4 linked regions of the Drosophila melanogaster genome follow. The protein of the gene in region 1 purifies or fractionates together with the protein of each later gene. This does not show direct contact. Each region holds a gene or a part of one and is shown in the gene's direction. Other genes may lie near its edges. The genes, in order: Kr-h2, Agpat3, spidey and CG11857.

Region 1 (5,362 bases):
CAATTTTCAGTGAATTCGCAGCAAAGCCAAGCAATTTGCATTCAATCATCTGTGAAGGAAAAGCTATCACACAAAATGGCACAAATGGACATCGAATTGAAGAAGGTGAGCGGAAGGCAAGTTGCCAAAAAGGCCGACTGCCGACGGAGAGCGCGTGCTCTTCCAAAGAACTTAGTCATAGACGATTCCTTTTGCACGCAGGCCTTCACCGAGATGCAGATCAATAAGCTGGAGACGACCAAGAAGATCCACATGATCGACATGAAGTGCGACATGGTCAAGACAGGCAAACAAAAGTACCAGCTGACAGAAAAGGGCACCAGCAGCTTGGCCGACGACACAAGGTACATAACTAGAATCACAATTAATCATCTCCAGGTGTTCAGGTGGCTAATTGAACTGTTTCCCTATAGAGTTTACCAGTCCGTGGGTCGCATGTTCCTGCTTACCGATGTACAGAATATGCGCGAGGACCTGAAGGCTAGGCAGGAGAAATGCGACAAAGCGATAGAACTGCTGGAGAAGAAGAAGGAGTTCTTGCAGAAGTCCCTTAAGAGCCAGGAAGACGGTCTGCGCGAGTTGGTGCAGCAGCGCAAGGAAGCCGATCAGACTGCGAAATAGACTACAACTCCAAACTGGCATTTATCCCTCAACGCAATTGCTTATTTATTTTCAATATACTCGTCTAAATTGAAGTTGGCGTAGCTGACAAACTTGTTGCCCAGATTGCGTTCGTGTTCCGGGCGGAAGCTGCACTTGAGGACGGGCAGGCGAGCGGTTAGCCAGGGCTCCACCACCTCACCGGAGCACAGGATTACCTTGCTCTCCTTCTGGTTTCGTTGCAGCCTAGTGATTATTTCACACGTTTTGGCGATGCACTCCTGGGACAGGAAGGGCGGGTCGGCCACGATGAGGTCATATTGCTGGTGGTGCTCTTTGAGGTAGTCCGGGTTGCTCCCTACGCAGTTCAAGTCGTAGTGCACAAAATCTGTGCCATAGGCCTCGAAACGCTTGTCGAACTCGAATATGTGCACTACAAGATAGAATGATGACAATTCATTCATAATCGTTTCACATGTCCACTTACCTGTGTCATGTATCTCCCTGATGTCCTTGTAGAGCGATGGGCAGGAGAGCAGTGCTATACTAAAGTCACCCGAATCCTCCGTGCGCTCCGCCAGAAGCTTACGCACAACATCACGCAATGCGTGCTTGGTTTCCGTGCTGTACCAGAACTGACTCAATTGCTGCAAGCGAAGAGAGTTTCACCATAAGTTTCTAAGGTATGTGCAGGTGCTCTTGCCCAATCCTCCTCGAACTGGGCATCCTTGCCGGTCTTGTTGGCGATTTGATTCTCCTCCTCGGCTTCGCGTTTTGATCTCTCCAACAGAAATTCGTTTAAAATGGCCAAAGTGTCGGCGGGCAGCGAGATGTCGTCGTCCATAATTAATTATTTGCCACTAAATGAATCTTAGAGCATTCAAATCAAAATAAACCAAAATGTGCGTTTGAAGATTAGAGGTGCGAAATTAGCGATACAAATGAGAACTTATTGGGGGGATTCCAGGCCTTGGCGCTGTTTTCAAATTGTAAATTATTAGAAACTTAGGCCAACTGCGATATTGAAATTATACTTTCAAAATAATATGCACTTTAACCGTATGCAAATCGATTACCAATTTTAATTTATTTTAAGTTATTTTATTAATACAACTAGCTCCAGAAACCTGTATCGTAACTTTTATTTGACAACACATTTTCAAACTGTACTGAATATTTAGGCGTTTAATCGACAACTAAAACAGCAACTTTCAAGTACGTGGTCTTTAAATTTCGTAAGATCGAGAAAGCAGTGCGATACAAATCGGTGGCAGCCCTGTGTCAGTTCGTTTTTATCGAACTAGATCAACTTTGCCCGTCCATCTCTAGTTCGCACGGGAGCCCCGACCAAACTGATACGTATTAATTTACGAGAAAAACTTGCGTTTAATTCGAAGTCACATCATATCGCAGGCTGGAACGTACCTGCTGCTAAGTAAGAGGTAAGTGAATGGCCAACGTGAATTAGGAAAAATCAGTGCCTTGCCGGAAACGAAATCCATGTGATTAAAGGCTAACTTTCTTCGCTTGACGTCGTTCCCAAATCGGATAAAAGTGTGCTGCTGGCCCAGTAATTACACTGGTGAATTATGCAGGTCGGCATTTGGACTCGCTCCGCGACTTCCGTGCGGGGGAGGAAGCATCCAATCCCCAAGCGCAACCGTTTCGAATTTCTACAGCGCGGCGCGAAGAGCCCTGCACTTTGATTTCGTTGCCGTTCATTGTGGAGTTCAGTCGGGTCAATCAGCCTCAATTTGCGAGACTTACCTTCTGAATCTCTGACGTGTACCTACCAACCAAACTGTCCACTATGTGACATCATATAATTGGGCTTCCGACTCCGGACTATTGCATGAATAATGTGCGCGCGGGTTGACAGGTGCTACCTTAAATTGACTAGGTGACCCACTTCCGTTGAAGGACCCTCCGTCCACAGATCCCAATCGATACGGCTGCCCCACTGCCAGTCTCATTACTCGACATGTAAATCGAAAGTACACGTAGGATGGACCCCCTCGGTTGGGTTTACTTAATCGCTCAGACCAGCCCACTCCCCCTCCCATGTTTCACCTGTTGCCACCTGTTTGTGTTTCAATATTTTGACGTGTATTTCGTAACAACATGCACATTGTGCGCTGTCTTGCAGTTTTCTCTTCGAGCTTCGTAACGAAATCTTTGCGTTTAGTGCGCTAGGCATCATAAACCGCATACTCGAGAAATATAATTGCCAAACCGTAAGAGTACATGATACTTTAGCGATGGCTTGGCTGTTTTCTTTTTTTGGTTGCCTCATGCAAAGCACTGTCCGTAATGGTGGGCAAGTCATCTTGGCTAAAGCGAACATTAACACGACTTTTGGGCCAGCCCGTTCTCGTTTTAAGTGCGTTTGCCAGCCACTTTCCATTTGACTGGTTTAACAGTTGGCCCTGACTTTCAATTAAGACGTAAAGCGCTTGGCACTGAGAAGCGTAGTGCAGTCTAATCCTGGAGTCATAGAGGGCAGATCTTGCGGGCTATTCATTAGGTTGGAACCCTCACACATCAGATAGCGCCGCAGTTACTTAGCCAAGGTTCTCTTATCGCTGCCTATGCCTAAGATAGCAGCCAAATTCCCGCCGATAAGGCCGAAAGTAGAAACCTTATACTGATTTTCATAACTGCCTTGCAGACTGAATACTGAACGGAAAGCGAGCACGAAAGCTACTTCATCATGAGCGCACCCACCGACCAACCACCGCGCTCCGAGGGCGCTCAGACCAACAGCTCCGAGAGATCCTCACAGCAGCAGGAGCAACCGCAGCAATCTCAATCACAGAACGTACCGGCCAAGCTCCTGCAGCATTTTCAGACAAATCGCATAGATTCCGCGCTATGGGCACTACGTCTGCTGGTCATCTTCTTCACCGTCAGCTACGTGCTGCCCATCTTTACGTGAGTACACGCGTTTTCCACATTGACCTACTCTAATTTTCACTTACTTCTCCACAGCTCACAACAGAGCGCATTCAGCAAGGTTATGCTGGCTAATGCCGCCATCTCTGCCTTGCGTTTGCACCAGAGATTGCCCGCGTTCGCGTTCAGTCGGGAGTTCCTTGCTCGACTGTTTGCCGAGGACTCGTGTCATTACATGATGTACTCCCTGATCTTCTTCAACATCCGCCCATCGCTGCTGGTTCTGATTCCCGTGCTGCTGTACTCAGTTCTGCACGCCTCAAGCTACTCGCTTAAGCTGCTGGATGTAAGGAAAGCAATATTTCACATTTGGCACTTGTCTAATAAGAAATGTACTTACAGCTGATTGGCCAGAACTCGTGGTGGGGTGCCCGTTTCATCATCTCCATTGTAGAGTTTCAGGCGGCGAATATCCTGAAGGCAACTGCATTCTGCGAGATCTTCATCATGCCTTACGCCATTGTGCTGGCCTTCATGTGAGTTTTAACACATATCTTTCGAGGGGAATGCACTCCAATGCAGAATACTTTCAATTTTAGGAACCACGCTGGATTGATGACGCCCGTTATTTACTACCACTATCTGGTGATGCGCTACAGCTCGCGACGAAATCCCTATCCGCGCAACGCTTTCGCTGAGCTGCGTATAACCTTCGAGGCGCTGGCCGCCCGCTCACCGCCCGCCTTTGCCAAGATCATCCGTGGAGGCATTGGGTTCGTCAACCGCTTGGCGCCGCAGCTACAGCCGGCTGCAGCGCAAGAGTAGACACGACAAGCAGCTAACGGAAAACAACAATCAAATGACATATGAATAAGGCTATTTAAATACCAGTTCACTTGCATAGATGTTCACACAGGAGATTGGGGTTCATCCGTTTTATTTGTTAGCCGAAATTCGTTGCACCTTTTCGAAGCGAAACTAGTTGTTTTACACCAGATTGTTTCGGCATTTAAGTTTAAATTTATCTATATATTATTGTAGTTTTTTTTGAGTACATCATCATGCTTTTTTCAACAACACACAATGTGGCAACGCACGAATTCCGCCATGGAGGATCAACGGCGCGTATTACTATATTTATATCCCAAAAACAAATTATTTCAATTTGTTTTGCTTTAACTTATATGTTCAAAATACTGATCAAACGAAAAACATGGACAGCTAACGCTGTTAGTAATTATTTACATATATTTTGTATGAGTGTGTAAAGATTCGAAGAACCAAACAAAGTAAAGTAAAGTTAAATAAAACATTTTGAGAAGGTACTAGAATTTGGACTACAATTTTTTCTGGTTGATTGGCTTTAAATCTTCTGCTACTGTATTAAGTGGTTTGCACTTAACTTGTTTCTTCTCAAGCCAATTAAAAAATGATATCAATCGTAATAATTTTCGTATCATCCTTAAAGTATGCAATACCTTAATTTCTCCACTTTTGGTCAGCGGGCTCAAACAGGTGAATGGAAGCGTTCCCCAACATACTCCAGATCAGGATCACTAGTCGATTTGGCCATGTTCCAGTCGGACACGAATAGTAGCAATCTAAGCACTTTTGTACAGCGCCGAAGCATCAACCCACAACGAAACTAATGAAATGATTTCTGGGTGTGAGGCTAGGGCGTTGGTAGCTTGTCGTTGGCTCTGGACTTCTTCCGAATTTCCACCAAGTTCAATGAACTTCTTGCGCAGCGCCAAAAAAAAAAAATGTTCGTCCAAATGAGGGTGAAGGCACCCGAGCTTTGTTGTGTTGTGTAGGTGAAACGACTCACTTTCGTTCTCAGTGCCGGGAAAACTTTGGGGCAGGGGCTTTT
Region 2 (6,546 bases), on another chromosome or scaffold:
GGCGGAGCCAGGGTATACGGTGTGCTCAGCTTAAAAGCCTGCTGACGCTGAAGAGGATTAGTCGATGGAGTGGTGGGCATTCTTAGATTTAATGGTGGAGCTGCCTCCATTGGCTTCTGTTGCTGCACCGTTGAAAACCCAATTATATTATCATCCTCGACTTCATTGTTGCGCTTCTCTTCGCTAGCGGGCGGTGTTACCGAACGGCGTCTTTTAAGAGTGGCATCAACCACAAGCGACTCTGCCTCATTTGGCGCATCTCGCGACCGGTCCTTTAGAGCCTGTTCCAATTCCCGACACGCTGAGAGTTTACCGTAGTCGAAGACCGGTTCCTGGGGATCCTTCTTTACCAGGAACTCGTCGAGGATAGAGGCACCGTTTTCGTTGTTTCCAAGTGGGTTTGCTTTCTTCCTTTCTGGCAGCTCGTAGTTTAGTTGGGGTGGAGCCGGAAGCGTAGGCTTATTTTCCTTGATGGGCGTAACCCTTGCCGGCTCTTGCTCTGGTTTCTCAGGCGAATCCTCGTTCTCCGTGTCGTCAAGGCAAATGAGTTCCGGCGAACCACTGCCGCTGCGGCTGCGAGAATAGCTACGACTACGACTGCGACTGCAACTTCGGCTAAGACTGCGGCTGTGGCTGCGACTACGACTGATGCTCCTGCTGTCGTAGGTTCTGCGCTGCCTGTCATGGAAGCGAACCAGGTGCTTCAATTTACGCTTGGGCAGCAAGTCCTTCAGGCCGTCAAAATAGCTGTTGTAGTCCATTTTATTGGGTCGCAGCCTGAAGTGTGATCGGATAAGATAGGATTACAGTTTCAGTAGGTTCTTTGGGAAGTAAGCCTTACCAACGAATACTGCGACGCTTGAAGTAAAGATTGGGCAGCCTGCCACGCTGTAACTGCAATTGCCGGATCCGCCGAATTGTTTCTGAGCGCGTGGAAGGTGGCACCGCATCGTCATCTGGCTTTTCATTTTTCTCAGTGGCAGCCGCCGATTCTGGAGCTCCATTTCCGGGTTTCTCGGACTCGGATCCCTTGGATTTTGTCTTTTGGGGTCGTTGCTTGCTCACCGCCGCGTCCATTAGAGCGTCGTATTCCTCCTCCTCGTGGCTATACTCGTCGCTACTTAGCTGCGAATTGGAGGAGTCGTAGATCTCGTTGGACATTAGGCCTGCAACTGGACGACGGTCAGGTATGTACATCTTTTGGCATTAACCCCCTCAAAAACTCACGCGCTCACGTCTGCAAATTTTTGGCCAACAAAAAATCGTCTGCCGGTTGAATATTCTAATCCGCCGACGGGCTCACCTTTTCAGTTGCTGAAAACCACTTAAAACAATGGCCCAAGTCCCCAAATAGGCTAATTCGGGTTTATACCAGTTTTAAAGCGTTTACTTTCAGCAAAAATCCAATTTCCAAATGCGAAAAAAAATTCGCCGTTCAATTCTGCGAATAATTTTGACAGGCATTTAGTATGGACGCAAACCAATAGGGTAACCACTTTTGGGAAAGTCTTTAAATAATACTGAATAAAATATGTTCTTCCAACTAGTTCTTAGTTAGGTAAACCAAGCAAACAAATTTTTAATCTTATTAAATTAAAGTAATCTAGTAATCTTATTAAATATTACTAGTTTCGGGGTATTCGGTCATTTCATATCTAAAAACCAAATAACTATATTAGAATAAGTTACTCACTAGAGTTTCATTTTTTGATTTATGGAAAAGTTAGCGTAGATCAAAAATCAATCATTAATAAGCTATAAGTTGTAGTGCAGATCGTTAGCCAAATTATTCAGATTTCCTTTACAACATTGCAACCTGACAGCCCTGGTGGCAAATATTAAATATTGAAAAATACTAAAGGCAAAAGTGGCGATTTTCCGTTTGTTCACCGGTGTCATCGTCATTGCACTCGAACGGTCATACCGTTTGGCTTACAAAAGAAAACAAATCAATTCGCACAAAAACATTGCCAAAAAGGTAAATGGCGGGCACGACGCCGCCGAGTGATAACCATATAGTAGTGACCAGTGTTTAGCAACCGATTCCCGCCCAGTGACACTCGTAAACAAAGGGCACGACCGACAGTGTCTGTATATATATGTGCATATGCGTAACAGGGAATAACCGATAAGAACGGCGCAGCTGCAGATAGACATACCTTTAAATAGGACTTTGTTTATTGATCGTTTGTGGGTGGCTATTGCCTTGCAGATCGCGAACTGATAACCATAAATGTTAACCACGTCACGCCACCCCACGCCTCTCCCAAACACACACACTCGCACACGTGCGCCAGCTGAGCACATGCATACGTATATGCATGCTCACACGCACACAATCGCATGGTCGTGCACAAGAACTCTTTTGTTGTATGTAAAGTGGACGATCGAAAAAGTAAACTAATTCAATACAATGGGTTCAGCAATCAACGTCGGGGTCACCAATTGAGTGCATCAAAAATACAATCAATTCGGCCCGGCGAATTTTCGGTTGATTCAGCTAATGGCGGTGTGCATAAGAAATGGCATGAAAAGTACTCCTTTTTTCATTGGATTTAAATCCCATTATCATAGGAAGAAATAAGAAATTTAAAAAAAGCAGTGCTTGTCAACTGAATGCATTCATTTCTATTACAAAAACGTAGTGCGTTCCATTGTGCATGTAAATATATGCAGTCCCAGTTTTATATTACGTGTCAAAACAAAAGATTGACCTTTATCATTGGTCGTTTTACAACCATTGTTTATAACTTTGTAGAAATACAAATAAAAACTTCTTTGATAAACTTTATCCGCTGACATGTTTTAAATCATAATTTAAGTAAATCATGATCATTTAAATAATAATCTCAATATATAATACCTATTACTTTAGTTTATTTAAAATCCGAAAATCGTTTCGAAACTTATTTAAATTTGCTTAAATTGAAATATCTAAAATATCCGAAGCCAAGTATTATTTAATAAGAAATATGAATAGCTAAACGCCTTAATGAAATGATTTAATTAGTTTAAAGTTTTAAAGTTGTCGTTTTTACTCATAATTAAAACGGTCGTAAAACTTTAGTACTTTTTTAAAACATCTCCATGTACAAAATGTAAAAAATGACACCTAACTGTCATCAATTTTTTGCTAAACTGTTTGCACACTTTGGTCCCCATAAACCCACTCATTCTAAAGATTATTGACTTTCGCGAGCTTCCACTGTGAAGTGCGAGTATCTGCCCCATAATGACTATCCGTCGGACAGGCGGACTTTGTCCACAGCGGCTGTAGCTATTTCCAACGGAGAAGTCATCGATTGGCCAAGGCTGATTAGATTCCTCCTCCGGCAGCGGCCTTAGCAAAAGCTATAGCCTATAGGGCTATGGGCTATAGCTCCCGCTGATATCTGGCGAATATCTCTGCCGTGCGGCGGTTGCCCCAGTCCATTGCCAGCTGGTGGTGCAGGTGGTTGCCTTCCCGGATTTCACGATTTCTTTTAACTTGGCCGCGTGCTTTTAATTGAAGAAAACGCAGCTCTTGTGTGAGTGCGGGACCTTGTGTAGTGGTCATAAACTAGGTGTTCCACCGTTGGGACCATAAAGTGCGGGTTTACGAGCACTACCGGGAGAACAACCTACAATTAAAGTAGTGATTACGTAAAGACAGCCGTTTTATTGGTTAAACATCGCTATTTGCAGATCAAAATGGGTTCCCTGGAGAAGCTGAAACAATTGAGACTGATACACCTGTGCATCGCGCTCACCTTCTTTACCAGCGGGCTGTGCATCAACTTTATCCAGCTGCTGATGCACGTCTTTATCAAGCCCATAGACAAGCGACTCTTCCGCAAGTTGATGTACTATGCCTGCTATTCGCTTTACTCCCGTGAGTATATCCTGACCAGTTCCGATTCGAAGTAGAAACATAATACCTCCAATCCCTTAGAACTTATCTTCGTGTCCGATTGGTATGCCGGCAGCAAGATGACTGTCTACATGGACAAGGAGGACTTCGAGAAGCATGCCGGCAAGGAACACGTCCTTCTGATCATGAACCATAAATACGAGATCGATTGGCTCAACGGCTGGATGATCTGCGAAAAGTTGGGCGTGCTGGGCAACTGCAAGGCCTATGCGAAGAAGGCAATCCGCTACGTGCCCATCATCGGCTGGGGCTGGTGGCTGGCCGAGTTCGTCTTCCTCAATCGAAACTTCGACCAGGACAAGACCATCATCACCGAACAGCTCAAGGTGGTCTTCTCCTATCCCGATCCCACCTGGCTTTTGCTCAACGCCGAGGGCACTCGCTTCACTCCCGCCAAGCACGAGGCATCCGTAAAATTCGCCCAGGAGAGGGGCATGACGGTGCTGAAGCACCATTTGATCCCGCGCACCAAGGGATTCACCGCCAGCTTGGCACCCATCCGCGGTCTCTGTCCGGTAATCTACGACATTAATCTAGCGTACAGGCCCACAGATAAGGTAATTATAACGGCAAACTTCAAGCACTTCATTTAAGTGCTTTAGTTATATAATACTGTATTTTATTGTGCCATACATTTAATGCAGAATTCTGCATGGCAAAGCTTCTCATGTATATTTTTGATAAGGCTAATCAGCCTGTTCGACAATACCTGTCTGATTGCTTTGGTCTAATCAAATTTCTTTTCGTTTAATCCGATTATTTTGCTCATTTACTTCACTGCCTCTTTTAAGAGTCACGATTTCTTAAGATCGATGCTCTTAAAGATACCGATTAGAATGAGCAAACATTTCAAGGTTAATCAAGTGGTAATTTTTATAACTTATTTTCCTTATTTTGGTTTATTTTCCTTACCTTTGACGTGTCATCAGTATTATTAGCACTTTAGCCAGCATAGCAACCTTAATTTTTTAACTGAGTAATTTGGCGTTCTAATGATAAGTGCATAGAATTTAGCAAATTGCAAATTTATTATGGTTTTAAATTAAACTCGCAGAAGTGAGTTATAAAAGATGCTTATAAAGATACTACAGTTTTAGCTACTAAAAGGCTATTTACCGGACTTAATTAACTTGCAATTGAACTTTCAGACCCCCGCCACAATGCTGAGTTTGCTGCATGGAAAGAGCGTGGAACCGCACCTGCTGATGAGGCGTATTCCACTGGAACAGGTTCCGGAGGATGAGAAGGAGGCGGCCGCCTGGCTGCAGAACCTGTTCGTGGAGAAGGACAAGATCATCGATAGCTTCCTGGAGACGGGCAGCTTCTTTAAGACGTCCGGCATAAAGGAGGTTCCGGCATATGTGAATAAACGCCGGCTGTGCTCACTCGTGAACTTTGTCTGCTGGGCGGTATTCTCTCTGTCCTGCATTTTCTACTACGTGATCACATCCCTGCTGGCGGCCAACTGGACGGCCTTTATCACCGCACTTTCCGTCCTGGGACTTTGTAAGTTTGGGGTTCGATCTTTAAGGAGGATGGCACTTTAGACGGCATTAGCCGTTCATTCTTTAAGTTTTAAGAACTTTTTGGAGTGTTAAATGCTAAAGTTCATATATAATGACGTCTGCATGGTTATAACAATAATATAAGCCGCGTTCTAATGTGTTCCTACTCCCTCCAAAACCTTAACTTTTGTAAATCTTATTAATATTCTTTTTTTCTTGTTACAGTTTACTGGCTCATGGGTCAGGCCATCAACAAGACGCAGATCAGCAAGGCATCTAATTATGGATCCTCCAAGTCGGTCGCAAAGTAACTTTCGAATTCGCATTTAGTTTCGATTGTCGTCGAACTCAATTATCTACAAATGACTTTGTAAAAGGCAGTCCTCTCACAAATCTCTCTGCTAAATGGATCAATTCGTGATTCCTATCCGGACGATTTAAAGTGTTTTGCATGTTTTTCTTGTCTAAGTTTATAGTTACGAAGTAACTCCCGCACACTGGAGCCATCAATTTGCGTACGTAGTTGGTAGTTGTACACCTAAGTGGAAATTTAATTGTTTGATCAATTGTATTTTGGCGAGCATTGCAATAATTAAATTAAACAGAACGTGAGAGCGTGAGTTTGTTGTTGTTGTTTTTTGATAAGGCGTAAGGTAAGCAGTGCGCTGATAAGGGCTGCTGATAAGTGTGGACATGCAAGCAGTGCACCTAAAGAGTGACCTTAACACAAAATACCAACAGTATTTCTAAACTGGATACTTGAAAATTACACACATACGTGTGTAAAATAAATGTAAAATTTCGAATACATTGTTTTTGAGATTCCCAGAAATGCTTTCAAAAGTTACCTTTTGAACAGGAAGGAAATGAGCAATAAGCAAAGCATATTATCCAAATATTTGTGTTTATCAGCATTCTTCCTACACGTTCGTTTCTTTATCAGTTGTAACGATCAGAAGCAGCACACGTTCCGTTAGTTCGACTGCTTGCCCTTGGCTATATGATCAATACAACCACACGCCAAGCATAAAATCGCCTTTATTCGCCGATAAGCAGTGTCGCCCATTCCAATTGACTGATAACAGGTGATTAAAAGTGTTAGTTGTGGGTTTCTGGGTTGTACTATCGACG
Region 3 (5,489 bases), on another chromosome or scaffold:
GAAACGTGTCGAATGGATCGCCAGCTCGCGGTCGTTTCACTAGTTCGAAAAAAAACAATTTCAATAGATATAGTTAAAATATATATGAAAATCATATAATATATAAAAATAAAATGCACTCAGCTAAAATCACGTATAAAAGAAAAACTCAAATAAAACAATAATTTCGTTTCGAATAATGCTTGCACACTAAGTAGTAAAATAATTGTTTTACATAAAAAAAAATAATCATTTTTCACTTGGGTAATCCGCAAAGTAAACAAAAGAACTTAATCTTCAGCTTAAAAGTGCCAAAGTTTGAGTTGGGTAAAAGTTTGCAATGTGATTAAGGCATGAGGTGGAGACTCACATGTGGTCGACGTGGAACCCGAGCCGATGTGATGGAGTGAGGAGTATATAATCGCCAGTATCCAAAACAGCCTCGATCTCATCACTGCAGCGGAGTGTCTTCATATGCCGACTTACGGGATACGGTAACAGGATGCGGGATGATGCATCGACTGGCGCCACTCGCCGCAGGATATGCACATATGAACGAACGCCCCTCTAAACTGTTCTATATCGATCCAAGTCCAACTGCATCAGCGTCCCACTGCATCGCCAGCGATGATTCCACGGACTTCACTTCGCTTCGCTTATCGATTGCCCTGCGGCAAAATATTGCTGGACATATTGCACTCAAGTATCTTCTTTTTCAGAGTGTCCTTTTCGATTATATATGTATATTTACTTTTTCTTTTTCTCTTTTTTGTTGATTTCTTTGCACACTTTTCAGCGCGCGGATGGAGGCTGGAGGGATAGGAATGTCGGACAATTGGAAAATCGGAAAAGCGCTTATTAACCAGCTCGTGTTGCGTGTGTATTTATCCTTTTGCAACTGCTGCTCGGATGGCCAATAAACGGGAATGTAGGTCAGGGCATGCTCTGCGCATGGCCAGCATCCGCATCCCTATTATTTCATCCGAAGGAATCCCTCTACCCGAGCAACAACAACAAATAGCAGACGCCACTCACCTCTCAAGCTCAAAATAATGCAATCTTCAAGATTGTTTTAAAAAGAAAAAGACTTTTCTTTTCTTCTTTTGTTTGCATTTGTCCAGGAAAAAAGCTCTTTTCGGCGGATGGTTCTGATAAATATTTAACAATATAAAAGTTGCTTTTGCCGGTCCTTCGGCGTTGTTGTTCCCTCACCCACACTTGCTTCGGCACTGAATCCGCTCCGAAAGGCCAGCATCTCTCTCGGCATTCTTGCAATCCAGGGATTTCTACCCACCAAACAAGGTCCTTTGAATCCGTATAGCTCGGCATGCAAATAAATCGGGCGATTGAGCTCAGAAATACCTGTATTTTACTAATTGTTAAGAGCCTAGAGTAAAAATACAGATAAACTACCATTCTTTTACTGTCAAATTAAGCTTCAAATTCGAAATTCGATAAGTAACCGATATTTATCGATAGGCAAAGGATTACCCTCGCACATACGCGATCCGCTATAGCCATCTCGCTCCATCAATAATTTACCGTTAATATAGCGGGCTTTACTCAGAAACATCAAAAATATTTAACGACTTTAATTGTAGCATTCGCTGCGTTAAATTGTTTATCGCACTTTCTGCTTCCTGCGCATGTGCAGGAAATTAGTCAGACTATTTCGGTGATTGCCCCATTCTGGCGTGTATTGGTGAGAGCATAGAACTTACACTGCCCTCCTATGATATACATATGCATGCTTTTTTCGCTTTTAAATAAACTAATTAATAGACTAGTAAAAGAAGGATATACGGTAATGAACCTGTGAACCCTTAGGCGGAAAACTATTGCTGAATTTACATTTCATCCCTCTTTTAAAATCAGCTAGTGCAACATAACGGTTCTTGGTGTGATAAATTTTTGCGCTCACTGTTTGCAGCCGCCCTTATCTTTCGCTTTTTGGTGGTGTGCGTGAGCGCTATGAAATGACATAAGTGGGCACACAACACAGACACACACCCCTCTGAGGGGGGCACATGGATACGAAAAAGAACCGTTCATTTGCTTTTGTGCCGTTGACAATTGACATTCAATCGCTTTTTCCATTTGTTTTTATTTTCCCCCTTCTACCCTAAGTTTCTCCTTTCAAAGAAAACGCATTTGGAATACAAATCAGGCAAAAAACACGCGTACATAAATCGAGTAATCGAAAATCAGTGGCGATTTCGAAGGGTGTGTGTGTGTGTAGAATTACTACAACACACCACAAATACAGTTCGAAAAGGCAGCGCAGTCGGCAGAGGCGAAAAAAAAGCAGCGGCGTCAGCATTTCCATTTCGGCATTGCAGCTCGAAAATCGTAGAATCAGAAACTAATCAGCCGGCAGAGGCTATAGCAGTCGACCGATCGCAATCGCACCATATAGTACATACAATAGGTACCATTGCCTAGGAGTACCAGGAACCAGGAACCACTAATCTCCATCATCAACATCATGGAGGAGAACAACTCGCAAGTGCTGAGCCTGCTGGGCGGTCTGGCCATCGGAATCGTGGGCTTCCAGGTCTTCCGGAAGGTCCTGCCCTGGATTTACGCCAATGTTGTTGGCCCCAAGGTCTTTGGCTCCTCGGTGGATCTCTCCAAAATGGGCGAGTGGGCAGGTGAGTCGGTTGCCATGGAAAAACATGCCGGAAAGGAGCGGAAACGGGGTCGATTCCGAGTGCACAGTGAAAAAATGAATAGCAAGTTTGCTAAAGAAGTGTAGTTAAAAAGATTAAAGACCCTTTTACAATTAAATTGTGAAGAAAGGGAATTTCCAAATTGCAAACACTCTACTTTCAAGTTTTCCAATTTTGCATTAACTGCCTAAAGGAATACACTATATATCTTTCCAAAATGGAGTTCAGTACTTTTTTCACTGTGACCGATAAGATCGTTCCCCACGCCCCATAAATCCACTGATAACCCACAGAACTATTGGCTAACTTTTTCGACTTTCAGTTGTCACCGGGTCGACCGATGGAATTGGCAAGGCCTACGCCAAGGAGGTATGTACACAAAGATGACATGGAAGGGCTGCCCCAATCTTGACCAGCGCAAGCAAAGTCCGTCCAAGCTCGACCGATGATTATAGTAAAATGGGAAACGGGTCAAGCAAACAAACAAACAAAAAACGATAGTAATAATGAGCAATTAGTAATTACTAATTACCGAATTGAGTGTCGCCCACGATGACTTGGACATTGGTTTAGCGGTCGCCAATGCATTAGCCAAGTGAATCTGCACTTTGAAATCGATCTTCAGTCAACAGTCCAGTCGCAAACAGTCCCTAATAGTGTTTGCTTGACTGCAAATCGCTACATTTGTACTTTTCGTTATTTATTTTTACAAAGTGCAATCGCAGTTGATTTTTCTACCTTTTGTGGTAATTTTTTTTTTTTTTTGCCAGTTTTATTTTGTAATACACAGACTTGGAGCAAACGAAGCTAGAAGCTATAGGGAACACGTGTCCCCTGAATGGCAATTACTTTATAGAGTGGAGCACAGGGCCCCGATCGAAGCTTGTGCCAAATTAGCATTCGGCGTGCGTCGAACGCACAGAAAATGGTTCAATGTTCACACCCAATTTCTATTCATATACACGCTTAGTACACTTAAATGACTTCCTGTTCTTAAAATCTACGGGTTACTCGTCTTTGAAACTCCTGCTTTAGGTAGAAACGTTCAGTGTTCCCATTCCAAAGCACCATTGCTTTTTATCTCTGACCTAAGAATTTACTATCCAAAAGTACGTAAATATGAGCAGGCTAATAAATATTTAATCACTTTCAGTTGGCTCGCAGGGGCTTGAAACTGGTGCTGATTAGTAGATCCCTGGAGAAACTGAATGTGGTGGCCAAGGAGATAGGTAAGTCTGCTCACTAAAATACAGTTAACAACTTCAACTAACAACTGCTCTTTGCGGTCTACTTTCAGGCGATAAATACGGTGTGGAGGTGCGTGTGATCGATGTGGACTTCACCGGCGGTGACGAGATCTACGATAAGATCCGCGAAAAGACCACTGGCCTCAATGTCGGAGTGCTGGTCAACAACGTGGGCATCAGCTACGGCCATCCCGAGTACTTTCTGGACTGCTACAAAGCCGATCCCCCATTCCTGCGCAACATTGTGGCTGCCAATATCCACTCGGTGACGCACATGACCGCACTTTTTCTACCCGGCATGATTAGCCAGCGACGTGGTGTGATCATAAATGTATCGTCCACCGCCGGAGTCATTCCTAATCCGCTGCTGAGCGTGTACAGTTCCACCAAGGTGAGTGGATATCATCAGAAGTGATAGAAGGCTAATTACTAATACCTATAATTTGCAGGCCTTTGTGAACAAATTCAGTGATGACCTGCAGACGGAGTACAAGGAGCACGGCATCCTCATCCAGAGCGTCCAGCCGGGCTTTGTGGCCACAAATATGTCTAAGATCCGAAAGGCTAGCGTGTTTGCTCCCTCGCCGGAAACGTATGTCCGCTCGGCGCTGTCCACCCTGGGCATTGCCACCCAGACGGCGGGCTATCTGCCGCATGCTCTACTCCAGCTGGTCATCCACTTCACGGAGGCGGTGTTCGGCGAACAGTTCGCACGCAACATCGTTATGAAGAACATCCTGGGCACCCGGAAACGTGCCCTGCGCCGCCTGGCCAAGGAACAGTAGATTATTGAGGATGAATACGGCGGAGGAGGCATTTAATGGGAATCGGTTGGGATGATGAGTGGGTCAGTTGGGTTGTGGGGAAAATCCGGCTAGTCAAATAGCTTACGTAATTACCGCGTGTCATACGAATCCACAAACAGATAGCTTGAAATACCAAAAAAAAAAACATTTTTCCGAAATAAACTAAGTTTAGTTAGTTTTTGTCATTAATTAGCATTGAAGATTCGCAAACAGCCATGTCATGTAAACAATAAAAAATGTGTTACTAGATATATGTATATATCTAGTTTCCAATGATAAATAACGCCTTTTATTTGCAGTCCTTTATTTTGTATTTAACTTCTTATTTGTTCTTGCTAGCGATTTTTCTTTTTCCCTATGATTTTTCATGTTTTTCGGATCCAATTTGAATTTGAATTGGATGTGTCGATAACGGCAATAGCTATCGATTGGTCATCGATAGGCGCGCCCTTCGGCTAATCGGCGAGATGGGAATGACAGAAAGAGATACAACACTTCGCGCAGGGCGAAGAAGCAAAGCAAAGGGCAAAATTCATAAACATAACAGTAAAGATAGTGTATAGCCGGGCGTGAAATGTAATGAATCGGATTCATGACGTGACGTGTTATCAGGGCCAGCCCAATCCCAACTGCGCAGCAGCAGCGACAGCAACAACAATAACAACAACACATCAAGCTGAATCGAAGGAGCGTGTAATCAGTAATCAGAGTCGCTTGTTTTGATTTCCTTTCCTCGGAAACGAATCAACACGAAACGAGACGAGACGATTCGAAACGAAATGAAATCA
Region 4 (4,321 bases), on another chromosome or scaffold:
GATTACCAAACACCTGCCACCATATTGTTCAAAGGCAGTTCGCTGAGCAGAAATAACTCTTCGGCTTCTGAGGCAAGCAAAACGCCTAGTTCAGCATTCATTTTCGGTAGCACGGGTATGTATAATTCGACGTTGACCTCAAGATAAAAGGATCTAACCGCTTTTTATGTTCACTTCAGATAAATCGGAGCCTGGAAAGGATGCTGGCCCATTAGCTAATCTTCAAAAACTAGCATCAGGCGAAGGACAAGGAAACGTTTTGGGATCTATATTCCGTAGCGGCTCGTCAAACGAAAATTCGTCTGACGGTTCTGTCAAGTTCTTTTTCGGGGGTGGAAATAAAGCGGCTGAGCAACAGAAGAAAGATTCCTCAGAGTCTGTCTTCGGAGGCAATAAAGCGGATTCCCAATCGCCAGCGACCCAAGAAGCACCGAAGTTGGCCTTCGGTGGAATTGCCGCACCTGTGTTCGGAGACGCCAATCCTTTTGGAGGCCACAAAGTTAATTTGCAAAAATCAGATGGCAAGGAAGAACCAAAATCTATCATTGGCGGAACCCCATTGTTATTTGGAGGGTCCAACGCCTTTGGAATACCCAAAATTGAAACCCAGTCACCTGCTAAAGACTTTGTGTTTGGCAGTGCACCCGCTTTTGGACAAATGGCAACCTTCTCATTTACAGCTGCAAAAAATGAAAAGGAAAAGGACATAACCTCGAATAACACCACTGATCTTAAAGCCGAAGGCAAGGAAAAGAAGGAGTTGGTGCCGGAGACGACCAGCACATTTGCCGATTTGGCCAAGACAGGCAGCACGTTTGCAGATTTGGCAAGCAATCCGGGCGGCACTTTTGCGGACTTAGCGAACAAGACGGGCAACGACTTTGCCAACCTGTCGGCCAATAGCCAGGGCACTACCGTGGGATTCAACAAGTCCGCCGGGGGCGGCTTTTATAACCTCACGCATCAGAACGCTTTCAAGAACTTCGAGTCGCCGCAAGCCACAGAAGAGTGCGATGATGACGGCGACGCGACCACTGATGACAACTACGATCCGCACTATGATGCCATTGTAGAGCTGCCGGATGAGATAGTTGTCACCACGGGAGAGGAGAACGAGACTAAGCTGTTTGGCGAGCGGGCGAAGCTTTATCGCTATGACGCCGAATCGAAACAATGGAAGGAGCGAGGTAAGCTGTAGTAATAGTCCCTTTCTTATTCACACTAAAAGTTTTTATAAAACCAAAAAAAAAAAAAAAAGGTGTCGGTGAGATAAAGGTGCTGGAGCACCCGGAGCTGCAGACATTCCGACTGATCATGCGGCAGGAGCAGATCCACAAGCTGGTGCTTAACATGAATATCTCCGCCTCCCTGCAAATGGATTACATGAACGCGCAGATGAAGAGCTTCCTGTGGGCCGGCTACAACTACGCGGTGGACGCAGAGGGTAAAGTTGACACCGAGGGCGTCCTGGAACGCCTTGCCTGTCGATTCGCCAAGGAAGAGATCGCCAGTGAGTTCCTCAACACGGTCAATTCGTGCATAAAACGAGCCAAGGCCTTGCAAGGTGATGAGGAGAACAAGAATGACGACGCGCCGGAGGAGCAGGCGAGCTCATAAGCAAACCGGATCTAAATATATGTAGCATGTCTAGGATTGTGTTAGAATATTCATCCAAAACAGTAGCGACAATGGCTATTTCACATTTTGCTAATAAAATTTCGATAAACATTAATATTACATTTGAAATAAATTTGACTATTGAATAAAGCAATCGATATATTAGAGAGGAGACAAATTCGGACGTACAACCATATAGCACAAGGAAACTGGCTATGTTTTTATATATTAAATGTACCTCTACCTATTTTTAAAATATCGACAGCACTTAGATAAAAAATTAAAACAAACAATTACCTTTCGCGATAATCGCTCAACTCCCGATTGTTCCATCCCCAGCCGATAGTTTGACAGCCCTGCCACTGAGAGAGCATAATGACGTGGTGAACTCTGTGTGAAAAAAGAACAATAAATTGCCGACAAATCTCTAGTGTAATTAAATTAGTTACCGCATAGAAACGCACTAAACTGTGGCCAGAACTTTACGAATCCCGAATACTGTCTATATAGCAATCTCAGGAAACTGACAGTTGAAACAGCCCTACAACAAGGAGGAAGAAGAAGAAGGCGACGACGGGCGGTGCAGAATATGAATTAGAGAATAATTAGCGATTGAAGCGCGTCTAGTTTGCCAGTTGGCCCATTTCGTGTTTTGTTAGCCCCTTTCCGGCAGCCCCTGCCCCCGTCCCGGAAAATTTTGCAATTCCCGAATCGATACACGTGTGCAGCGAGAACAACGACAGCGTCAAAGTCAACAATAAAAGTCGAGGGCCGGAGATTAATGAGAGACTACCGACGACGACCATGATGAACGAGGACAGCAGTGCTGCCGGCGGCGGCGGGGTTAAGAAGTTCTTTCAGCGCCTCTCACAGGTAAGTAATTGTGGATAGCCCGTACGTGCCGGGAACTAACCCGCATCCTTTGCTTCCGCAGACCTACCAATCCGCCTTGGACCGTAGCACACCGCACACACGAATGCGCTGGGTGTTCGCCGGCTTTCTGCTCCTGCTCTTTGTGCTGCGCATCTTCATCTATCAGGGCTGGTACATCGTGTGCTATGCGCTTGGCATTTACCACTTGAACCTGTTTATCGCTTTTTTAACGCCCAAGATCGACCCGGAGTTCGATCCGTATTCGCAGGATGACGAGGACGAGGGACCCAATCTGCCAACTCGCAGCAACGAAGAGTTCCGGCCATTCATTCGCCGCCTGCCGGAGTTCAAGTTCTGGCTGTCGGTGGCGAAGAGCACGCTCATCGGTCTGATTTGTACGTTCTTCGATTTCTTCAACGTGCCGGTATTCTGGCCCATCCTGGTCATGTACTTTATCACGCTCTTCTGCATCACGATGAAGCGCCAGATCAAGCATATGATCAAGTACAAGTACTTGCCGTTTACCCGCAATAAACCGCGCTACCAGCGGGTGAATGATCTGGCGGGTTCCGGACCCGGTTCCGTGGCGGGCAACTCAAAGTGACAATTAGCCGCACAGACGTCGGACACGCGGGCGACGGCAGCGGGATCGGGTGATCCTTCAAATGCCTCTTCTGCAGCTGCAGCGCCACCATCACCAACCAGCGACAGCGCAGCGACCAAGGATGTGGGGTCGCCAACAGCATCGTCCATCAAACCACCGCAGATCATTGCCATTGAGGACTACTAGAGAAAGCTACCGAAAGCAGCCCGGAATGGGAACCAGCAGCATAACATCAACCAGAAACAAGCTTATAATATGATTTTCCTTTTCGGTTTGTGTAGCATTTTTCGTTTCACTGTTGAGTTGTCGTACGGCGTCTTGTGCAAAATACCTTGTTTATTGTTTAATCTAACTGCTTGTTTAAATTTATATTTATTTACAATGCTTTCTATCTATTGTAAATCCCAAACGATACCGAAATACTGCAGATCAGCTCTAATTTAGTTTTTCATCCTAATCCTAACAATAATTTAATAACTCTTCTATCCAAAAAGTAGACTTACTGTATTTGAATCCAATTATTTTTGATTATCGTGCTAAGATGCTATAATAATATGTCTAAATATATATACAAACATATATATATATATATTTTGCATTATGATTATACAATTTTTGTTAGCGTTAACTATACAGAATGTTAAAAAAAGGCGAATTGAAAACTGAAACTATAGGAAGTGTACACTGGGTGCGTCTTATGAATAAAGAAAGACAAAAGAAAACCAAATAATTTATCGTTGAATTTTGAACCATTTGGAAAAGGTTGATGGCTTTTGTGGCGTGGTTTTTGTATTTATCTAATCGCTTCTGCATGTAGTTTGCTGTTCGATTTTAAGATACGAAACCAATTTTGATTAGGCCAATGCGTGAAATTGCTTTAGCGATTAGCACAATCACTAAGTGGTTATTTAAAAACGACTCATTTTCTGAACAGTAAATACATTTTATTTTTGTTAAAACGAAGCACACACCAACAAAACGAGCACACGTCATCTAGTCTAGAAAACACGATACAAATAGTTAAAACCCTAGCACGGCAATAATAAAAAAGTTCAAATGCACATACAAATATATATATAAAAATGAATGATAATACGGGAATTGTAATATATGAATAGGCTAACCATGCAAAACAATCGCACATTTTGATTAATTATAAAAAAGTGATTTAATTATGGGCACTTGGGAATACTTTAAGGGCAGCGGGACAAGAGAGATTTCACTTGG

Evidence for each region.
Region 2: the proteins of Kr-h2 (region 1) and Agpat3 purify together in Drosophila melanogaster (affinity purification with mass spectrometry, with the first as the bait; one large-scale study listed by BioGRID). This does not show direct contact.
Region 3: the proteins of Kr-h2 (region 1) and spidey purify together in Drosophila melanogaster (affinity purification with mass spectrometry, with the first as the bait; one large-scale study listed by BioGRID). This does not show direct contact.
Region 4: the proteins of Kr-h2 (region 1) and CG11857 purify together in Drosophila melanogaster (affinity purification with mass spectrometry, with the first as the bait; one large-scale study listed by BioGRID). This does not show direct contact.

What each region holds. Positions count from the first base shown.
Region 1 is NT_033779.5:6,069,146-6,074,507, forward strand, and holds Kr-h2 (kruppel homolog 2), read left to right. Parts: upstream 1-1,844; 5' UTR 1,845-2,042; intron 2,043-3,067; exon of another isoform or gene 3,068-3,268; 5' UTR 3,269-3,310; coding exon 3,311-3,531; intron 3,532-3,588; coding exon 3,589-3,838; intron 3,839-3,894; coding exon 3,895-4,028; intron 4,029-4,091; coding exon 4,092-4,317; 3' UTR 4,318-4,816; downstream 4,817-5,362. Other genes in the region: Pfdn1 (prefoldin 1), read left to right, coding at 76-105, 202-344, 414-621; CG9154 (uncharacterized protein), read right to left, coding at 663-1,033, 1,088-1,247, 1,304-1,444. UniProt on the Drosophila melanogaster protein: Member of the dosage-dependent hierarchy effective upon white gene expression.
Region 2 is NT_037436.4:16,381,252-16,387,797, reverse strand, and holds Agpat3 (1-Acylglycerol-3-phosphate O-acyltransferase 3), read left to right. Parts: upstream 1-1,988; 5' UTR 1,989-2,343; coding exon 2,344-2,370; intron 2,371-3,318; exon of another isoform or gene 3,319-3,631; intron 3,632-3,684; coding exon 3,685-3,871; intron 3,872-3,931; coding exon 3,932-4,467; intron 4,468-4,865; exon of another isoform or gene 4,866-4,966; intron 4,967-5,058; coding exon 5,059-5,416; intron 5,417-5,640; coding exon 5,641-5,726; 3' UTR 5,727-6,026; downstream 6,027-6,546. Other genes in the region: RAF2 (RING-associated factor 2), read right to left, coding at 1-777, 842-1,161.
Region 3 is NC_004354.4:7,906,908-7,912,396, forward strand, and holds spidey (spidey), read left to right. Parts: upstream 1-2,023; 5' UTR 2,024-2,464; coding exon 2,465-2,630; intron 2,631-2,970; coding exon 2,971-3,017; intron 3,018-3,801; coding exon 3,802-3,877; intron 3,878-3,945; coding exon 3,946-4,286; intron 4,287-4,344; coding exon 4,345-4,680; 3' UTR 4,681-4,978; downstream 4,979-5,489. Other genes in the region: dpr14 (defective proboscis extension response 14), read right to left, coding at 1-39, 350-431.
Region 4 is NT_033777.3:25,256,943-25,261,263, forward strand, and holds CG11857 (uncharacterized protein), read left to right. Parts: upstream 1-1,955; 5' UTR 1,956-2,421; coding exon 2,422-2,490; intron 2,491-2,551; coding exon 2,552-3,094; coding exon of another isoform or gene 3,095-3,280; 3' UTR 3,281-3,817; downstream 3,818-4,321. Other genes in the region: Nup358 (nucleoporin 358kD), read left to right, coding at 1-115, 180-1,187, 1,259-1,617; Kdsr (3-ketodihydrosphingosine reductase), read right to left, coding at 4,314-4,321.